4 linked regions of the Schizosaccharomyces pombe genome follow. The main gene of each other region encodes a partner of the protein of the gene in region 3 in a complex. Each region holds a gene or a part of one and is shown on either strand. Other genes may lie near its edges.

The links.
Region 1: tfb1 (region 3) and ssl1 share a complex: the UniProt entries of both Schizosaccharomyces pombe proteins name them as parts of the 7-subunit TFIIH core complex.
Region 2: tfb1 (region 3) and tfb4 share a complex: the UniProt entries of both Schizosaccharomyces pombe proteins name them as parts of the 7-subunit TFIIH core complex.
Region 4: tfb1 (region 3) and tfb2 share a complex: the UniProt entries of both Schizosaccharomyces pombe proteins name them as parts of the 7-subunit TFIIH core complex.

The regions. Positions count from the first base shown.
Region 1 is NC_003421.2:382,300-386,599, forward strand, and holds ssl1 (transcription factor TFIIH complex subunit Ssl1), read left to right. Parts: upstream 1-1,891; 5' UTR 1,892-2,173; coding exon 2,174-2,391; exon of another isoform or gene 2,392-2,521; coding exon 2,522-3,569; 3' UTR 3,570-3,748; downstream 3,749-4,300. Other genes in the region: SPOM_SPCC1682.06 (uncharacterized protein), read left to right, coding at 78-468, 514-839; meiotic pumilio family RNA-binding protein Mpf2, read right to left, coding at 3,825-4,300. UniProt on the Schizosaccharomyces pombe protein: Component of the general transcription and DNA repair factor IIH (TFIIH) core complex, which is involved in general and transcription-coupled nucleotide excision repair (NER) of damaged DNA and, when complexed to TFIIK, in RNA transcription by RNA polymerase II.
Region 2 is NC_003423.3:1,318,509-1,322,387, forward strand, and holds tfb4 (transcription factor TFIIH complex subunit Tfb4), read right to left. Parts: upstream 2,069-3,879; 5' UTR 1,986-2,068; coding exon 1,175-1,985; intron 1,113-1,174; coding exon 1,030-1,112; 3' UTR 562-1,029; downstream 1-561. Other genes in the region: double-strand siRNA ribonuclease Eri1, read left to right, coding at 2,232-2,311, 2,389-2,496, 2,558-2,963, 3,026-3,325; ERMES complex subunit Mmm1, read right to left, coding at 3,444-3,534, 3,579-3,787. UniProt on the Schizosaccharomyces pombe protein: Component of the general transcription and DNA repair factor IIH (TFIIH) core complex, which is involved in general and transcription-coupled nucleotide excision repair (NER) of damaged DNA and, when complexed to TFIIK, in RNA transcription by RNA polymerase II.
Region 3 is NC_003424.3:3,519,641-3,524,383, reverse strand, and holds tfb1 (transcription factor TFIIH complex subunit Tfb1), read left to right. Parts: upstream 1-1,994; 5' UTR 1,995-2,013; coding exon 2,014-2,059; exon of another isoform or gene 2,060-2,096; coding exon 2,097-2,183; exon of another isoform or gene 2,184-2,228; coding exon 2,229-2,891; exon of another isoform or gene 2,892-2,936; coding exon 2,937-3,120; exon of another isoform or gene 3,121-3,177; coding exon 3,178-3,721; intron 3,722-3,764; coding exon 3,765-3,842; 3' UTR 3,843-4,211; downstream 4,212-4,743. Other genes in the region: protein Png3, read left to right, coding at 286-340, 388-459, 740-1,248; SPOM_SPAC16E8.18 (uncharacterized protein), read left to right, coding at 1,411-1,734; rsm7 (mitochondrial 37S ribosomal protein uS7m), read left to right, coding at 4,624-4,743. UniProt on the Schizosaccharomyces pombe protein: Component of the general transcription and DNA repair factor IIH (TFIIH) core complex, which is involved in general and transcription-coupled nucleotide excision repair (NER) of damaged DNA and, when complexed to TFIIK, in RNA transcription by RNA polymerase II.
Region 4 is NC_003423.3:3,751,957-3,756,269, forward strand, and holds tfb2 (transcription factor TFIIH complex subunit Tfb2), read left to right. Parts: upstream 1-1,943; 5' UTR 1,944-2,113; coding exon 2,114-2,436; intron 2,437-2,481; coding exon 2,482-3,502; 3' UTR 3,503-3,761; downstream 3,762-4,313. Other genes in the region: ESCRT III complex subunit Did2, read left to right, coding at 405-420, 461-480, 521-598, 801-947, 990-1,058, 1,114-1,185, 1,238-1,438; the13 (acyl-CoA thioesterase), read left to right, coding at 3,977-4,313. UniProt on the Schizosaccharomyces pombe protein: Component of the general transcription and DNA repair factor IIH (TFIIH) core complex, which is involved in general and transcription-coupled nucleotide excision repair (NER) of damaged DNA and, when complexed to TFIIK, in RNA transcription by RNA polymerase II.

The sequences.
Region 1 (4,300 bases), on a different chromosome or scaffold from region 3:
AATTTCGCATTTTATTTTGCAATGTTCAAGTTGAAACTCAAACGTATATAATCACTATTGGTAAAAGGCTCTTCAAAATGCCAGACGAAAAGTTACCTCAATACAATGAAGTTTGGAATGATTTGGAGAAGGGTTGTTTACATTCTTGTCCTTCATATTCAGTCAATAATCATGTAAACAATCCAATTGTCAAACAAAACTCAACATTAACACAACCATCGTTACGAAAAAAAAATACAATGGCTGCACCTGCTAGATTAAGAAAGCGTTCGGAAAATGTGCGACTTACACAAGCTAGATATGCGATATTTCATATCTTCCTTCCTTTCATTCTTACTTTATTGCTTTATCATAATTTTTATAATTATTTCGATCAGGCATTGGCGGATCTTAATTCTGTGGTTAAATATGTTATTGAAACTATAGTGTTAATATTTACATACGTGATGACAGTGATTATTGTTTATTGTAAGTTTTTGAGATGATTTGAATTCATGACTAACGATTTTCTAGTTTCATTTTCGTTAATTAAATTAGCGTTTGAAGAAGCTTATGTTTATGCACCGTCTGTAGCTAAAGCGAATGAAGGTCTAGCTAAAGCGATTGCAGGCCTAGCTAAATATGTAGCTAAAGCAATTCAAGGTTTGGCTCATATTATTTTATCCTTACTGTTGTTTATTCTCGGGCTCGAAGTAATAGAACAAGATGAAGAGACTGGCGACGTTGAAATGTCGTCTATGCGAGGCCAAGCAATTACCACAGAGCCAGCAAGTGACAATACAATGGCTGAGGAAACCGATTGCAACACTTCTAAAGATGTAGAATCGGGCAGCAACTAAAAGTCATGGCTAGAGAAAAAAATCAAGGGGCTGCCAACAGTTGCGAGGGTTTTTTTTATTTCATCACTAATTTTCTTACTTTCTTGCAAAAGTCACTTTTCTCCTTTATTTCTATTCCTTGTATTATTATCTTATATGCATCATCACTTAATCATTTTCGATGACAGTCATCACTATTTTTGTCTCTGTTATAGAGCAAACACGATGTGTATTTGTGGTGCTAGGAAAATTCATTTAACTAATGAATCTGTTGTCAATTATAGATTAATCATCCTCTTTATTGTTTTACCAAATTGATATACAATCCTTAATTGTGACTTTGTAAGATTTGCGACTTAAAAAATTGTTCAATTAAGACATTACTCAAAAGATGCAAAGTAGTGATTTAACCTTTTTTTTTGTTGGATATATACGAAATAAGGATTCCATTCATCATTCTCAAGTTTTGGAGTTTTAAAAACCAGTATATACAGCAAATATAAGTTGAAATTTGTTTCTAAGACAAATAAAAACGAAAAAATCGACCTTGGAGTAGAACGAGAACTTCTTAAACAATGCGATTTCGCAATTCCTAGTCAGTAGCCAATTTCTGTTCGAGAAAATCAATTAAATGAACTCTTTCGTCCTGCAAACCATCCAACATTCAGCCTAAGCGAAAAGTAATTATTCTTCTTATGTCCATATCACTTGTAGCTTTACATAAAATATTGGCAATTACGCAGTTTGCAAATTTCTAAGTCTCTACTATATTGCAATATGCAGTTTGTACAAATAACCGAGCCATAAATAATTTTATAAAATACGATATATAACTCATCCTTAAAGAATGAGGAGTACAGATTTATTTTATATTCTTCTTTTACTTTCATAATTTCCTAAGTTTTTTCAAATAACAGAAATAGTTGTATACAAATTTCATATCACAAATCAAAGACTGATAAACACGAATTAACGCAGCATAACGAAATTCATTATTATATTTAACAAATAATGGTTGCGCTCCTTGTCCGTATTGTCTTCGTGTAAATGGTCTCTTGTTCTAGTACTTACTTAGTCTTACCATTTTACTGGTATGCCCAGGAGTCATTGCTTTTTAAAAAAATAAAACTAAAAATAATAAAAGAAAGAACTTTCGCTCATTGCATGTAAAGCAACTCGACGCGACTATTCAAATTACCAAAAGTTCACTGGGTAAAACGTGACTTGAAGAAATACATTCGCTTTGAGTTCTTTAGTCTGTAGAAACCAAGGAATAGAATTTGTGCAATATTCATTTATCTAATTATCAAATAGCGTTCTGGCATAATACCTATGCTCGGTTAAAATAACACTCAATGAATGAGAACCAAAAAAGTTTTGACTCTGACAAGTCGGAAAGCGAGGATGAACAAAAAAATGGAAGAGTTAAAGTAAGAAGCAGGAAAACTGACGATAATGAGGGTTATACTTGGGAAGGTGAATATCAGCGTTCTTGGGATATCGTACAGGAGGACGCAGAGGGTAGTTTAGTAGGCGTTATCGCTGGGCTTATTCAAAGCGGGAAACGTAAAAGGTATGGCGTATCAAAATTGGTTTTCTTATGTTCTTCATTTGTTTGTTAGTTGCCTATGTTGGGCATTTGGAAACATATTAGTCTTTTATAGCATCGATGAACGGTATACTAACTTGTCAATCTGATTTAGACTTCTTAGAGATACAACTCCGTTACAACGAGGTATTATTAGACACATGGTCTTGGTGTTAGATTTGAGCAACTCTATGGAGGAGCGTGATTTTCATCATAAGCGGTTCGACCTTCAGATAAAGTATGCTTCTGAATTTGTTCTTGAGTTTTTTGAACAAAATCCTATTTCCCAATTATCGATTATAGGCGTAATGGATGGAATCGCTCATCGGATAACTGATTTGCATGGGAATCCTCAATCGCATATTCAGAAGCTTAAATCTCTTCGAGATTGTAGTGGAAACTTCTCTCTTCAAAATGCTCTCGAAATGGCTAGAGCTTCTTTATCACACATTGCTTCCCATGGCACTAGAGAAGTCCTTATCATTTTTGGTTCCATCTTATCATCAGACCCTGGCGACATTTTCAAGACGATTGATGCTCTGGTTCATGATTCTATTCGTGTCCGTATCGTTGGTTTGGCTGCTGAAGTCGCCATTTGTAAAGAAATTTGTAATAAAACTAACTCATCTACGAAAAATGCCTACGGCGTAGTCATCAGTGAACAACATTTTCGCGAACTTCTACTCGAAAGCACAATACCTCCTGCTACTGATTCGGCTAAAACCACTGATGCTTCTTTGGTAATGATGGGATTTCCTTCTAAGGTCGTTGAGCAATTGCCAAGTCTTTGTGCTTGCCATTCAATTCCGTCTCGTGGTGGGTTTCATTGTCCTCGTTGTAAAGCAAAAGTTTGTACTTTACCGATCGAATGCCCTAGTTGTTCTCTCGTTCTAATCCTTTCAACACATCTTGCTCGATCTTATCATCATTTGTTTCCATTGAAAAACTGGAGCGAAATTCCTTGGTCCGCAAATCCAAAGTCCACTCATTGCTTTGCGTGTCAGTTACCTTTTCCGAAGCCGCCGGTTTCACCGTTTGACGAATCTACTTCATCGATGCGGTATGCATGTCCCTCGTGTAAAAATCATTTTTGTTTGGATTGCGATGTTTTTGCGCATGAACAACTTCATGAGTGTTATGGATGCCAATGCTCCGGAAATTAAAGTTTCTTTTGGTATATTAATGAACGCATTTATTTATAATAATTATTTTAAAATACTATTATGCTACTTATTCACAAATATGTAAAGAGATATATATTTCAATTTACTTATTTAAAGAGATCGTTGCTTAACTACCTTATCCGGAAGATAGTGAAAATTTGATCTATTGATGCTTCAGTAAGTGTTAGAGCTGTATCATATATAAAATAAAAACTAATTAAAATGTGGAAATGAATATATCCCTATATTTACAGATCAGAGGTCAGTATTGCAGTTGTAGTTGATTACAGAGGAAACCTGTTTTTGAGAATTCCATTTCTCGACTAAATAAGCAACCTTCTGACCGTACTTGCTTCCCCGAAGAGAAACCATGTGCTTTTTTATATGCGTAATGACAAGGTTTTTCTCAGCTGGTTGACCAAGTTGAATTATTTGCTGAATTAAATAGTTGCCATACTGATCAGATGCAATATCGATTAAAGGCTGCCTTGTTCGGTCAACTCTCGCGTTTGTAATTTGTTTTAGATATAAGGAAATGAAATTTTTTGGGCCAGACTTAATTGCTTTTTCAATGACCTTAGAGGCAAATTGGTCAATACTAAATTCCACTGCACGATTCAATAATGCATCAATGACTCTTTTCAAATCCTCTCCTTGTCCGTTTTCTACCATGTGTTGCACCACCCAGTTTCCCCATTGACCACGTGCAATACCGTCTAAATGAAAAATGA
Region 2 (3,879 bases), on a different chromosome or scaffold from region 3:
GAAATAAAACGCTATATAGTCGGGAAAGAGCTGTTAAAAAGCACAGTCAATCAAAAATTCTAAAATTAGTGGAAAATAGACATTCAGGATGTCAGAAGTTTGTAATTGAATCTATCAACAGATTAGGCAATGGTTGTAATGCTCCTAAGGTTAATCAGACTAATTTACGTCTGAAATCTGAAGATTTAGAACAAATATATTACAACCTTTTTATTATTTTTCCTTTTTTAAAAACTATGAATATCTGATTGCAGAATAAACGAATTTAAGAAAATACTTTTTTTTTTTCAAGCTTGTCGTCACTTGTGAGTTTGAGAATATTCGGGCAAATAAAAGTAAACCGGCTCTATTAGTATGAATTATCAATCCGCGCTTTTATTGCTCAGTACAGAAATTCAGAGGTTGAGTTACATGTAAAAACCAAGATTCGTAACCTTACTACAATAATCAAACCAATTCATTATAAATTGCATTCATATAGATCTCAATGTAATATAACTTTTCTGATTAAAAAAGCTTAAAAAAAGCCATTGTTAAAATGATCAAGCACCAACATTAGAGATGCAATAGATTATAAACAGTAGAAAGGAAAGTTCCTGTGAAATAATTTCTGTCAGCATCTTCAACATTAATGATTCGTTAGTAAATTAATTAAAGAATAGTATATAATTTCGTCTTACTGCACTGTTTGGAAAAGAAAGAAGCCAATGCAACTTGAAGAAATAATAGAAGAAGCTCTAAGGAAATAAATAATAATAGGGTACGTTGGAATGAATTAGTTGCTTATACGTTAAGTTTCTACTTGTGGATGCCCCTTAAGGAAATAGTTTGATCCTTCCGAAAAATGTTAACATTTCAAGTGTATCAAAATGCCAGAAAGTAAAAATCGCCAAAAAAAAAGAGCTAGACTGTACAAATCACCAGGATAAGGAGATTTAGGTAATGAAAAACAGGGTTTCAAATATGATAAAGCTGTACACCCGGTGTGAGACAAAGAAATATATAGTTTAATAATAATATAACGAATTATCAAGTGTGCAATTTTTTTGACATAGGTTCTACCGTGAATTTGGTATGACAAGTAGAACAATGCACCCGTGGTTCACAAAATACTAAAGAGGTTAGCAAAAGGTCAAATGTTCAAAGCCTATCGTAAAGCTTTGTTACTACTTACTTGATAGACAAACTGAGCAAACAAAGCCAATATCCAAAACCTTTTTGTGGCAAAAACATGTAGCTCGAAAATCAACATTCGCTTGGTTTGGGGTATTTAAGTGTTTTCGAAGATTTTGATCCGGAAAAAGCGACATCATGAGATATTGTAGTAAGCCTTTGGGGTTGTCAACTTTTAAGTAAATCCCTCCTGTGGCATCTGCTGCTTGTTCTAAAAACAGGGTGCCTCCCTCAATGTTGCAAACGTTAATTGGAATATTTTTCTTTTGAGCACAAAATATACAATTCATAGTAGGAATATACTGAAGAGCAACATCACCAGTTAATGAGAAAATTAGAATTCGAGAACGAAGAGTATTTTTATTTTGAACTTGATTGATATATGCAAGGGCTCTAGATAGTGCTCCGGAAATCATCGTTTTTCTTGAAACTTTATCAGTCGAACTCATGAGTCGCTTCATCCCAGATAAAACTAAGTCGTCTACCTCACGAAACTTTCGATACGTATTTGCCTCCTTGGTAGGATCTACTTCTGCGACTTTTTGCTCAGGTGCAATCGAAGGGTATAGGTATTCAACCTTGTCCGAGTGTGAAGCTAACACAGCAACTCTATTATCATGATGAAAAGCTAAGTGTGCGTTTAGAAAAACCGTAATATCTGCCAGTACCTTGGAAACAGGCACTTTTTTGGAAAGGGAGTACCATGAGGCAGGATTTGCGTCTAATATAACTACAAGCAAACTGGGTGTATCATTTGCGTCTTCAGATATATCCCACGAGGCATTTTGTTTCAAAGTTTGAAATTCATCCATCCCTCTTTTTATAATGTGTTTTTTCTCAATGCTTTCCCAACTTTAATACAGGTAGACAACAACCCAGAAAAAGTGTAGGGTTCAAAAAAAGATTGCCAACAAAACAGTGTTATTTCAAAAACATTTATATTCCATTATAATGAAATGGTTTATCTAATGAAATAAAAGGTAAAGTAATTCCAAAAATATAAAAAATTTATGGAGTCGCCAGTGCAGATTTTAGTTTGGCCTTTTCCATGTGACGAGATGAACCAAAAAACACCGTCTACGGTAGAAGAAATTCGTATAGCACTACAAGAACTTGGGTTGAGTACGAATGGAAACAAGTATGTTACTGAAATTGAGAAGCAATTAGTCCGTTTTCTCAGAGTTTATATAAATTAATTATTTACACAGTATAAAGAGAAAAACTGAAACGGCGATGGAAATTTCGTGAAAAACGTCTTGAAGAAAAACGAAAACAAGAACGTTATCAAAAGTTTTCTACTAGTAATGAAAACAAAACTTGTTTGTAGGGTTAAATCATCAATTGTTTAAACATTTTCTATCTAACAGTAACTGAATACTTGTAGACGATACTTGCTAATTGTGGACGTCGAAGCTACATGTGAAGAAGGTTGCGGATTTAGCTTCGAAAACGAGATCATAGAATTACCATGTCTTCTATTCGATTTAATAGAAAAATCCATAATCGACGAATTTCATTCTTACGTTCGCCCATCCATGAATCCTACTTTGTCTGACTATTGTAAATCACTGACAGGAATTCAACAATGCACTGTTGATAAAGCGCCTATCTTCTCAGATGTCTTGGAAGAACTATTCATATTCTTGCGGAAACATTCCAATATTTTAGTTCCCTCAGTTGATGAAATTGAGATTATAGAACCCTTAAAGTCCGTACCCAGAACACAGCCCAAAAATTGGGCCTGGGCTTGTGATGGTCCTTGGGATATGGCGTCCTTTTTAGCCAAACAAGTAAGTGTTAATATAATTTTGTTCGGTTTGTCTCACATTTCGCTAACAAATCGTATTATCAGTTCAAATATGATAAAATGCCAATTCCTGACTGGATCAAAGGACCATTCGTAGATATTAGGTCTTTCTATAAAGACGTTTATCGCGTTCCACGCACAAATATTAATGGAATGCTAGAGCATTGGGGTCTTCAGTTTGAGGGAAGCGAGCATCGCGGAATAGATGATGCGAGGAATTTATCACGAATTGTTAAAAAAATGTGTTCGGAAAACGTAGAATTCGAATGCAATAGGTGGTGGATGGAATATGAGAAGAACGGCTGGATTCCGAATCGAAGTTACCCGCCATATTTCGCAAGCTAATGCTTAAAATTTTTATTTCGACTTCATAATCAATATATTTCGTGGAATCTGGTAGAGATAAATTATCGTTAAAATTCATAGATAAAAAAAATTTCCGAAAATTACGTCAAAAGAATGTTTAATCTTCATTAGATGACTCCTCTTGAGGTGCATGGGACCTCGCATGTCCTTCTTTTGCAGAGGTTGGCCATAGGTTGGGAATTGCGATCCTGTGGGAATTAGTTAGTATGAATCAATTCATACTCTCACTTACTGTTGAAACTGAGGAGAAACACAACGATTAGTAAACCATTGTCGAATCCTTGATTCGATCAATTGTGTAATTTTAGGAATGTCTTGAAGCTTTGACCTAGCTCCCACAAGAGAACTTACTTGTAGCGAGATCACGAAATTGGGGTCAAATGACAAGTTCATATATGCAGGCTGGCCTGCACCATTGCTTGGGGAAAAATAAATCATAATCTAGGACAAATGTTAGAAAAGACCGTTATTAAAAGACGAAAAAAAATAGTCTATCGTAGAATACCACTGTGATACGATTTAACACTTGATGT
Region 3 (4,743 bases):
TTTAACGCATTTCATGAACGACCACTACCAACTAGGTACAATAGTTCATACTCAAGTAAAAGAAGCTAGGTGTGTTTTGGAGAACAGCTATATAAAATAAAGTTTTGAAAAAGCTTTGAAGCAAGCCTTATAAGTGGAAAACCGAGATTCTTTGGTTCGATTGCACTTATATTACAGACGTAAACAAAAGGAAGCAAAAAGCAATGCTAACCTTGGGCAAGTAATAAAAGTCAAACTAGAAAGAATCCTCATGAATAGCTGTATATAATCGACAAGTCGTCAGCCATGGCAAAACCAAAAAAGGAAAATGACTTGGATCTTCTTATACAACTTGCTGACGGTAATAAATGAACATGTGTAAATAAATAATTTTCTTACATTATTTAGCATTGGAAGCTATACCGGGTGATTTATCCAAAAATTTTACGGAAGTCCGTTTTTTAGAGGCTGAACTAAAGGGTAAGTGATAGTGGCATTATAGATTGGGATTTTTTGCTTGAACAACTGTGAAGGTTTTGATAATAAACAAAAAAATGAAAGATTACTAGTGAAACCGTTCTGGTGTTGATTTTCTTTGTTAATGTTTAATCAATCTGCTTAGGACTTGTTTGAACCTTGAATATGTTATTCAAAAGGACTTGAACGCTACTGAGGCTTATAATAAGTTTATGTTGTTCTTATCAAAACTTGCCTATCTAGAGCTTGCCTTTTTCTGATTTAAAATGATTAACATGTTCAGATGTGTATTCACAAGCTCTTTCTTCAATTGATGACCTTCTTAACAGAGATACTAGTGTTGAACGTCGTAATTTAGTCGCTCGAAACTTATCATTACTGTTAAAATCCGATGATGTACAAACTCGAAAAAAATCCCACATTGCAATGTATGCAGAGGCAATTACTCATAGTAATGTTTTACGTTTAGAACACTGTTATCAAAAGATGGAAATGAAATTACCAAATTTTTTTATTCCTTTCACTCCAGAGGTTATAAAAGAGCAAAAAACTTCGAGACCTATTAGAGCATCCCGGCGGAGAGCCAATTTAAGGAATCGCCGTGCTAAAGAATTGCTAGCAGCTGAAAACGCATCGGAGGAAGGAGATAAAAAGCAAATAATCACGGATTCTGGTAAACTACCAGAGACAGAGGAATTAACCGAGACCACAAATGAAGACCTCGACATCAAACAATTCTCTCCCTATTCTTCAGAGAGCAGTGCAAACGTTTCTTCTTACAATAAATCTTGAAACTTACGTAAAGCCTTATATTATTAAAATTCTTGCTTTTTTGTTTTTCTAATTGAAATACACTAATAATAGTTTATCCGGGATTAGCTACTAAATTCTAGTCATTCAACAGAAGTCACTTTGAAAACATATATAAACTCATGTCTTTCCATACTGATTCGAATGGAGGTAACTTCTTTCATACTTAATGCTACGTTTAAAGAGTTTGCATGTTTTGGAAACAATTACTTGATAATACTACCAGGAATTATGTTAGAAAGGAACGTATTTAGACATTTGAATTACTCTACAAATTCTATTTGTAGCCACTATCAGTTTTTTGGCGGACATTACGAATCTTTTGAACTTTTAGTAGTGATAGTTTATTACTTTTCACATGTTGGTTCTTTCTCTTTGGCTGAGATATATCGTATTACCTGGGATAAACGCATTGTACTTTATGGAACAACAACCACTCTTGTCTACTGCTCTGAAGGGTCGGATTGATTGCGTATATGATTAATTCATATTGTATTTTTTTAAAAATAAAACAGGGCTATAGTTTTAGATAACTGTCTCTTATAGGTTACCTATGTTCATAGCTCAACTTAATGAGGATATATTTACCCAAAATCTAAGTGTATATGATTTGGGACATCAAGAAACCATTCAAAACTTTTATTTTTCTAATGATTTTCGTAGTTTCCAATGTTCATCCTGTGTCTAACAAATCTTGATAATTTCGTAAAAGACTAGCGGTGTATTCCACAACTACCAAAATATCTGATGGGAGACAGGGTAGAAGCATTAGCCATATTCAGAAAAAAACAAGGTAAAATAACAATTAAATCAATGATTCTAACATGCAGGCGTATTATCTATCGATAGTAGATTAAAATGGACGGGGGAAGGGAAAACAACACCATCAGTAGATATTGCTTTTGATGCAATTTCGAGTAATAATAATTGTTGCATTTTCGAGATTACTGACAGATTGATAGATCTTCAAACTACTCCAGCGTCTAATCCAAAAGTTATGATTCGTGTTTTTATAGTAGTAAAGGAAGGTGAAGATCCCACTTCTTTAGTATTTCATTTCACCGGTACTCCTAATGCCAGAGAAAATTGTGATATGATTACTAATGAGTTGAGAAATGCGATACAAAGACAAAGGGAAGGCTCTCAATCTAAACCACAAGGAGCCAATGTCGATCGTGTAAATTCTACGAATCTAGAAAAGGACATCGACTTACAAGAGTCTTTGCTTACTAACAATCCCGATCTCTTACAAACATTTAAGGAAGCAGTTATGAAGGGACATTTAAGTAATGAGCAATTTTGGAGCACAAGGCTTCATTTGCTCCGCGCTCATGCTGTAGAAAGGTCTCAGCAGCGTGGTCCTTATAATGTCTTGTCTACTATTAAACCTAAAACAGTGGACAACCAAATGAAAGTTTCCCTTACCGGCCAGCAAATTCACGATATGTTTGAACAACATCCATTGCTCCGAAAGGTATATGACAAGCATGTGCCTCCTCTAGCAGAAGGAGAGTTTTGGAGTAGATTTTTCCTTTCCAAGCTTTGTAAAAAGCTTCGTGGCGACAGAATTACACCAATGGATCCCTCTGATGATATAATGGATAAGTATTTAAAAGATAATGAAGGTAATTTCTCCAACCTAGATGAATTCCATTTCTAACATTTTCAAGAGGTAACCAAAGTATCGGATGAACCTATTGCATCGCACCTCTTTGATTTAGAAGGAAATGATCAAAATGCAAATGTAATAGCAGAACTTAGACCTGATATCACTATGCGAATTGACAAAGAAGCTCTACCGTTTATGAAAAACATCAATCAGCTTTCGGAAAGACTTTTGGAAAAAAGTTTGGGGTATGTATATTCGGTTTTATTAATTGTTATTGCTTCGGTATGCCTAACAACTTGTAGAAACTCTAAACGATTTAACAACGAAAATGAAGAAACATACTTAAAAGAATCTGGTTTTCACGATTTAGAAGAAGAAGCCAGTGACTCTAAAGTTGTCTTAAAAATCAAAGGTCAAGATCAGTTATTGGAAAATAATTTTGTCCCCTCAAAAAATCAAGTTGGTTTAGAGCCTTTGCCTTCATTGGAAGCTCTTCAACATTTATACCAGGAAGATTCGATAAGCTTAAATCACATTGAACATGATTCTGACTCTTTGGCTGAAGCCGCTATGCAGCTTACTCAGAGTATGCGCGAAAAGCATGAGTTTGAGACCCACGGCACTGCATCAAATTTACCTATTGACATAAAAAATGAAATTGTTTTGTGCCATACCGTTACGATAGAATTTTTGCATCAATTTTGGAATGCCTTGTTGAATACAACTTTCCCGGACAAGAAGGCGATGGCCCCCCTTCAGAATGCTCTGTTAAATTCGAAAAAAAGGGTGGAGGCAATTGCGAGCCAGGCTCAGGAACAAAACGTTGATCCAAAACTGGTTTATGAGGTAAGTTTTTTTTGTAGAGATTTTGATTATTAACTAGGATTAGTTGGTATCCTGTACGCTCACTTCTATTGATACGTCAATCTCGGAGTATCAAAGACGAATGTCTTATCCTCCTGCTTAGGTTTGATAATGTCTTTGGAAACTCAATTGTGCTTGTAAAAGGTAATTGTTTCTGTTTTTCCATATAGAGGTTAATGATATATTGATATATTCTTTATTGGACTTAATGTTCTTTCTTCATAAAGGCTGGAAAAAATGAACATTGAAATGCTGGATATGGCTCTTTTTCTGTTTATACAACTCTTGAATTAAAAAACTTTTGTTTTGGTTTATAGATTCAAAAGACAATCAAAACTGTTTTTAGATTACTGTGCTCATAGGCCAAAATCTAATGTTTTTATGTCTTTATAGATTTTATTATTTATTAAAATTCGTTTTATGACACGAATATAGTATGTTATAAACTGATGTTCAATTAATTAATGTCCCATAATTTCTCTCTTTTGTTTTAAATGCTTGTTTTTACAATTTTTCAATTTATCGCTTCTCTGTATATTATATATAACTTTTTTTTTTACTTTCTTTCAAGGTATCAGTTCTGTATGATCCCAATAAAACTGTGTCTAGCTCAAGTATTAAATTTGGATACACAATTAATGATGAATATTTTAACATCGATTACCTAATTTATCTTATTTCAAGTTAATAAATAAATAGCCAAACGACTTTGAAATGTAGCACGCTAGCGCCTAGTTCCCTTCCCTTTTCTTTCATTTATCCATAGTGTATATGTACTAAGCTTAAACATCTACGCACACCTTAGCTTTCCTACATGCTTTGATTAATAAGAGTAATTGTTTTAAAAATTTCATTCAAGAAGAAAGAACAAACAATAAAGGGCCATGCTACGACTCATAAAGCAACCTTTGTTTCGATGTGCGAGTTCGGGACATTTGATGAAAGAGTCGCTTGTTTTTATCCATCAGACTCGTACTTTTCAAGTTGGAAAATTTACCTCAAAT
Region 4 (4,313 bases), on a different chromosome or scaffold from region 3:
AAAATTGTCTAGAAGTTGGAAAAATATTAAGCAAACTAAGTTAAACTTCCTCATGTGTTATCAATCCATTTTTATGCTGACAGATCGTCTTCTACAAAAAAACTGGCAACAATAAACTGGGAGGTTATTGAATTTTTAAACATCGAGCCACTAATTATTTATCTTTTGAAAGTCTTATTTTTTATAATCTGCTAATTATATTCTTTTGTTTATGGTGTTTACGCTATCATAAACTAAGATACTGTCAATTTTAGACCCCACTATCTTCCTTAGTGAAGTTGTTTAATTTTGTTAAAATGCATTACGAGTAATGTATTAAGAAGTTCTAAAAATCATCAGCCTTACTAGCAGACGCTCAATCAATAGAATTAGCATTATACAGCTAGCTTACCTTTACAAACAAAATGAGCAATTTAGAGGGTAAGTAAGTAATTTTTTTGATAATTGATTAACCTGAAAGCATCTCTGTTTCAATTAAAGGTATTTTCTTAATTGAAGTTTGTTTTTAACAATGCGTTAGTTTGCTGCAAAGTCGCTGAATAAACAATCACTTAAAGCTGCGAAAGAGGAGCGTGCTGAACGGGAAAAAGTGAAAAAGGTTTGTTTGTTGTAATGATTGCTATTTCCAAGCATGTCACTATCAATGAATTTTTTTACAGCTCATCTATCAATTGCTATTGTAATTCTTGGTGGTTTTGCAGAGTCTTGGTTTTGTCGATTATTCCATCTTCATATGATTTGCTAGATAAAAATTTTTTTTTACTTTTTGGCGTTATTCATTACTAACTGTTATTACCTAGGCTATCACAAAAGGCAACTCAGAAATTGCCCGCATATATGCATCGAATGCAATTCGGAAGCAGCAAGAATCCCTTAATTTGCTCAAACTTTCTTCAAGAATAGATGCGGTTTCAAGTCGTTTACAGACTGCTGTAACTATGCGTGCTGTATGTTAGCAATTTAACGTGGCATACTTATTGACTATTTAGGTGTCGGGAAATATGGCAGGTGTCGTTCGGGGAATGGACAGAGCTATGAAAACAATGAATTTGGAGATGGTGAGTTCCTAATTCTCGTAGAATGAGTTTTTTTTCAAATGTTTCTGACCCACAGATTTCACAAGTCATGGATAAATTTGAAGCGCAATTCGATGATGTTAATGTTCAAACGGGTTATATGAATAAGGTAAGTTTCCTTGATTAATCATATTTCAAGACTAGAACTAACACTATATAAGGCTATGGGATCAGTGACTGCTGTCGATACACCCCAAGAAGATGTAGATTTATTAATGCAAACGGTAGCTGATGAAGCTGGTTTGGAATTTAACCAGAATATGAACAATAATCTTTCGGTTCCTGCTGCCAGTGTTCCTACTCCCGCCGCTCCTGTAGAAGATGACAACTTACAAGAACGTTTACGTGCTTTAAGGTCTTGATGTATAATTCCAGTCCAAATAACAAAATTTTTTTGCTGCATAAATGAAAGAGTTTAATTACGCACAATTTATTCAGCTGATACGGAAGAAGTTAATTAGATGATTAAGGATTTATATGTTTTTCACTGATATTTGAAAAACAAATTATTTTTCTCTCGAGGGTCATTTATCCCGCGGTTTATTTCAACCAAGCATGCATCTCTAATGGTCTAAATAAGTAATAGTACAGTAAATATTTAACGTAACTGTAAATATTCAGAACATTTAAAACAAATCTTTTTTTTTTTAAAACTGACTTTATTTAAAACTTAAGTATGAATGATTGTTTATATGTTTTTATCTAATCACGACAATTCGCAACTTGGGCATAAAAGTTTGAATTGTAATAAATATGTACACAGGTTAATGTAATTATCAGCAAAAAAAAATTGTTATTGTCATTGTCGGAAGCTTTGGCTTGTTATTCTAGCCTATTTAATACCAGTAATTCGACTCGCTCTTGATCACCATCCACCTTCGGTCTCGCGATGATTGCTTATCTGGCATTTATGGAAGATTGATAATCGTAAATAAGTTTATTAGTTGAGTACACTGGATTTTGTTCTATTCAGCTGAATAAAGAGAGATTACAACCGCCAATTTAAACCTTTTGAAGTAGGTTCGCAAATTGTCACCATGCAAGCAGAATTCAAGTCTAGTATCAACGACTTCCTGGAACAGTTACCAAATCATGCAAGGCTTTACCAAAAGCCAGCTGCTTGTCTTGCTGTGTTTCGTTTATTGCCAATTCTAGCTAGACAGTATGTCATGTCTATGCTTTTCAATCCTATGCCAGTAGCACTCTCAGATTTCGATTTATGGATCAAACTTTCGAGTAAAGTTTATCAATCTGAATCCTTCAACAAACTGGTTAGGATGCATATATTTCAATTTGATGGACAATATATCACTCTAAATAGTGAATTTCGCAAACAATTTATAACTGCTCTGACTGGAGGGTAAGTTTTATTGAATTTTGAGTATAAACTAATTAAGCTTTTTAGAGGAAATCACAATTCGTTTGGCGTGCCATGTACCGATGAAGACAAGCACTTGGTGACGGTTGATTTTCTTGACGCATATGCGAAAGAAACTTGGGAAACAATCTTGCACTTCATGGTAGGAACTCCGGAAGCTAAATTTCCTGGAGAAGGTGTCTTAAGTCTATTAAAGCGGGGCGGTTTAATGTCTGGTCCAAAAAACCAGCTACGTATTACCCGTGCCGGTTTTCAGTTTCTGTTACAGGATATAAATGCTCAAATTTGGACGTTACTTTTGGATTATTTAAAACTATCTGAAGACACGCATATGGATCCTGTTCAGGTTTTGCACTTTTTATTTATGCTTGGAAGTTTGGATTTGGGGAGGGCATACTCAGTGGACTTCTTAACAGATACACAACAAATCATGCTTGAAGACCTAAGAGAATATGGATTAGTTTATCAAAGAAAAATTACTTCCAAGCGTTTCTATCCAACCAGACTGGCAACAGGTCTGACAACTGATTATCGCTCATTGCATGGAAAGCAAAGTGAAAATGATGATGATAAAGGTTTTATTATTGTAGAAACAAATTACCGATTATATGCTTACACAAGCTCCCCATTACAGATTGCCATCATCGGATTGTTTGCTAACTTAAGGGCGCGTTTTTCAAATCTTGTTGTCGGTGTGATAACTCGGGATAGTATTCGTCGTGCTTTGATGAATGGAATTGCAGCGGAGCAAATTATTACATACTTGACAACTCATGCTCACCCTCAGATGAGATCGAATGTTCCTCTTTTACCTCCTACATTAGTAGATCAAATTTATTTATGGGAATTGGAAAAAAATAGACTTCGGGCTACTCCTGGAATTTTGTTTCGCGATTTTCTTACTGATTCTGGCTTCGACCAAGCAGTAGAGTACGCAAAAGAACTCGGGGTTTTGGTTTGGGACAGTTCCTTGAAAAGAATGTTTTTCATAACTACGACAGGCGCCCAGCCCATGATCGCATACTTGAAAAGACGAGCTGTCAAATGAATATTTTTTGGATGGTTCAAAAGAGAAGTGGTAATTAGAAAATATTAAATTAATCTCAAATCACTTGTAAGTAATTTACTGGTGTCAATAAACATATATATAACATAAGCTCAACATTAGCCATGTTAACTATACGCGTGTTGGATATTTATACGAAATTCAAGTTTTAATGATGCAACTCTTTAACGTTCAAATTATGAATTTCTTCTTCTCGTCATTAGAAAAAAAAAATATCCGTTATTTGAATAATCCAAACAATATTCATATTCTTGTATTTAATGTTCATTTAATTATATTACCATTTGTAATAATGATTTGGTGATATTACTATAGGCAGGCAAATGGCTTGTAAATCCTTACTAACTACAAGTATCGCTGCTGCGAGTAGCCAAGAACTGCCACAACATAACCAATTCACCTGAGGTACTTACTTTTACAGTGATTGATACCTGTTAAACGAAGTTTTAAGACACAATGGCAATTAATAGCTCTGGTACTAAGGTGCTTTCTTTCGTTCGTTCTGTTTGGCAGGATTTTGTAAATACCAATGGGTTTGATGCTCATGTAGTCAGTGATATACAAATTATAAGTGCAGTTCCAGGATTTGTAGAATGCTCTCTGAAACTGCAGAAGCATCACCTAAATCGTATGGGTAATTTGCATGGCGGTTGTATTGCAGCACTCACTGATTTGGGAGGAAGTTTAGCATTGGCCAGTCGAGGGCTTTTTATTTCTGGCGTGTCAATAGATATGAATCAAACTTTTTTACAAAGTGGTGGTACTTTAGGTTCATCAATTTTACTGCACGCAA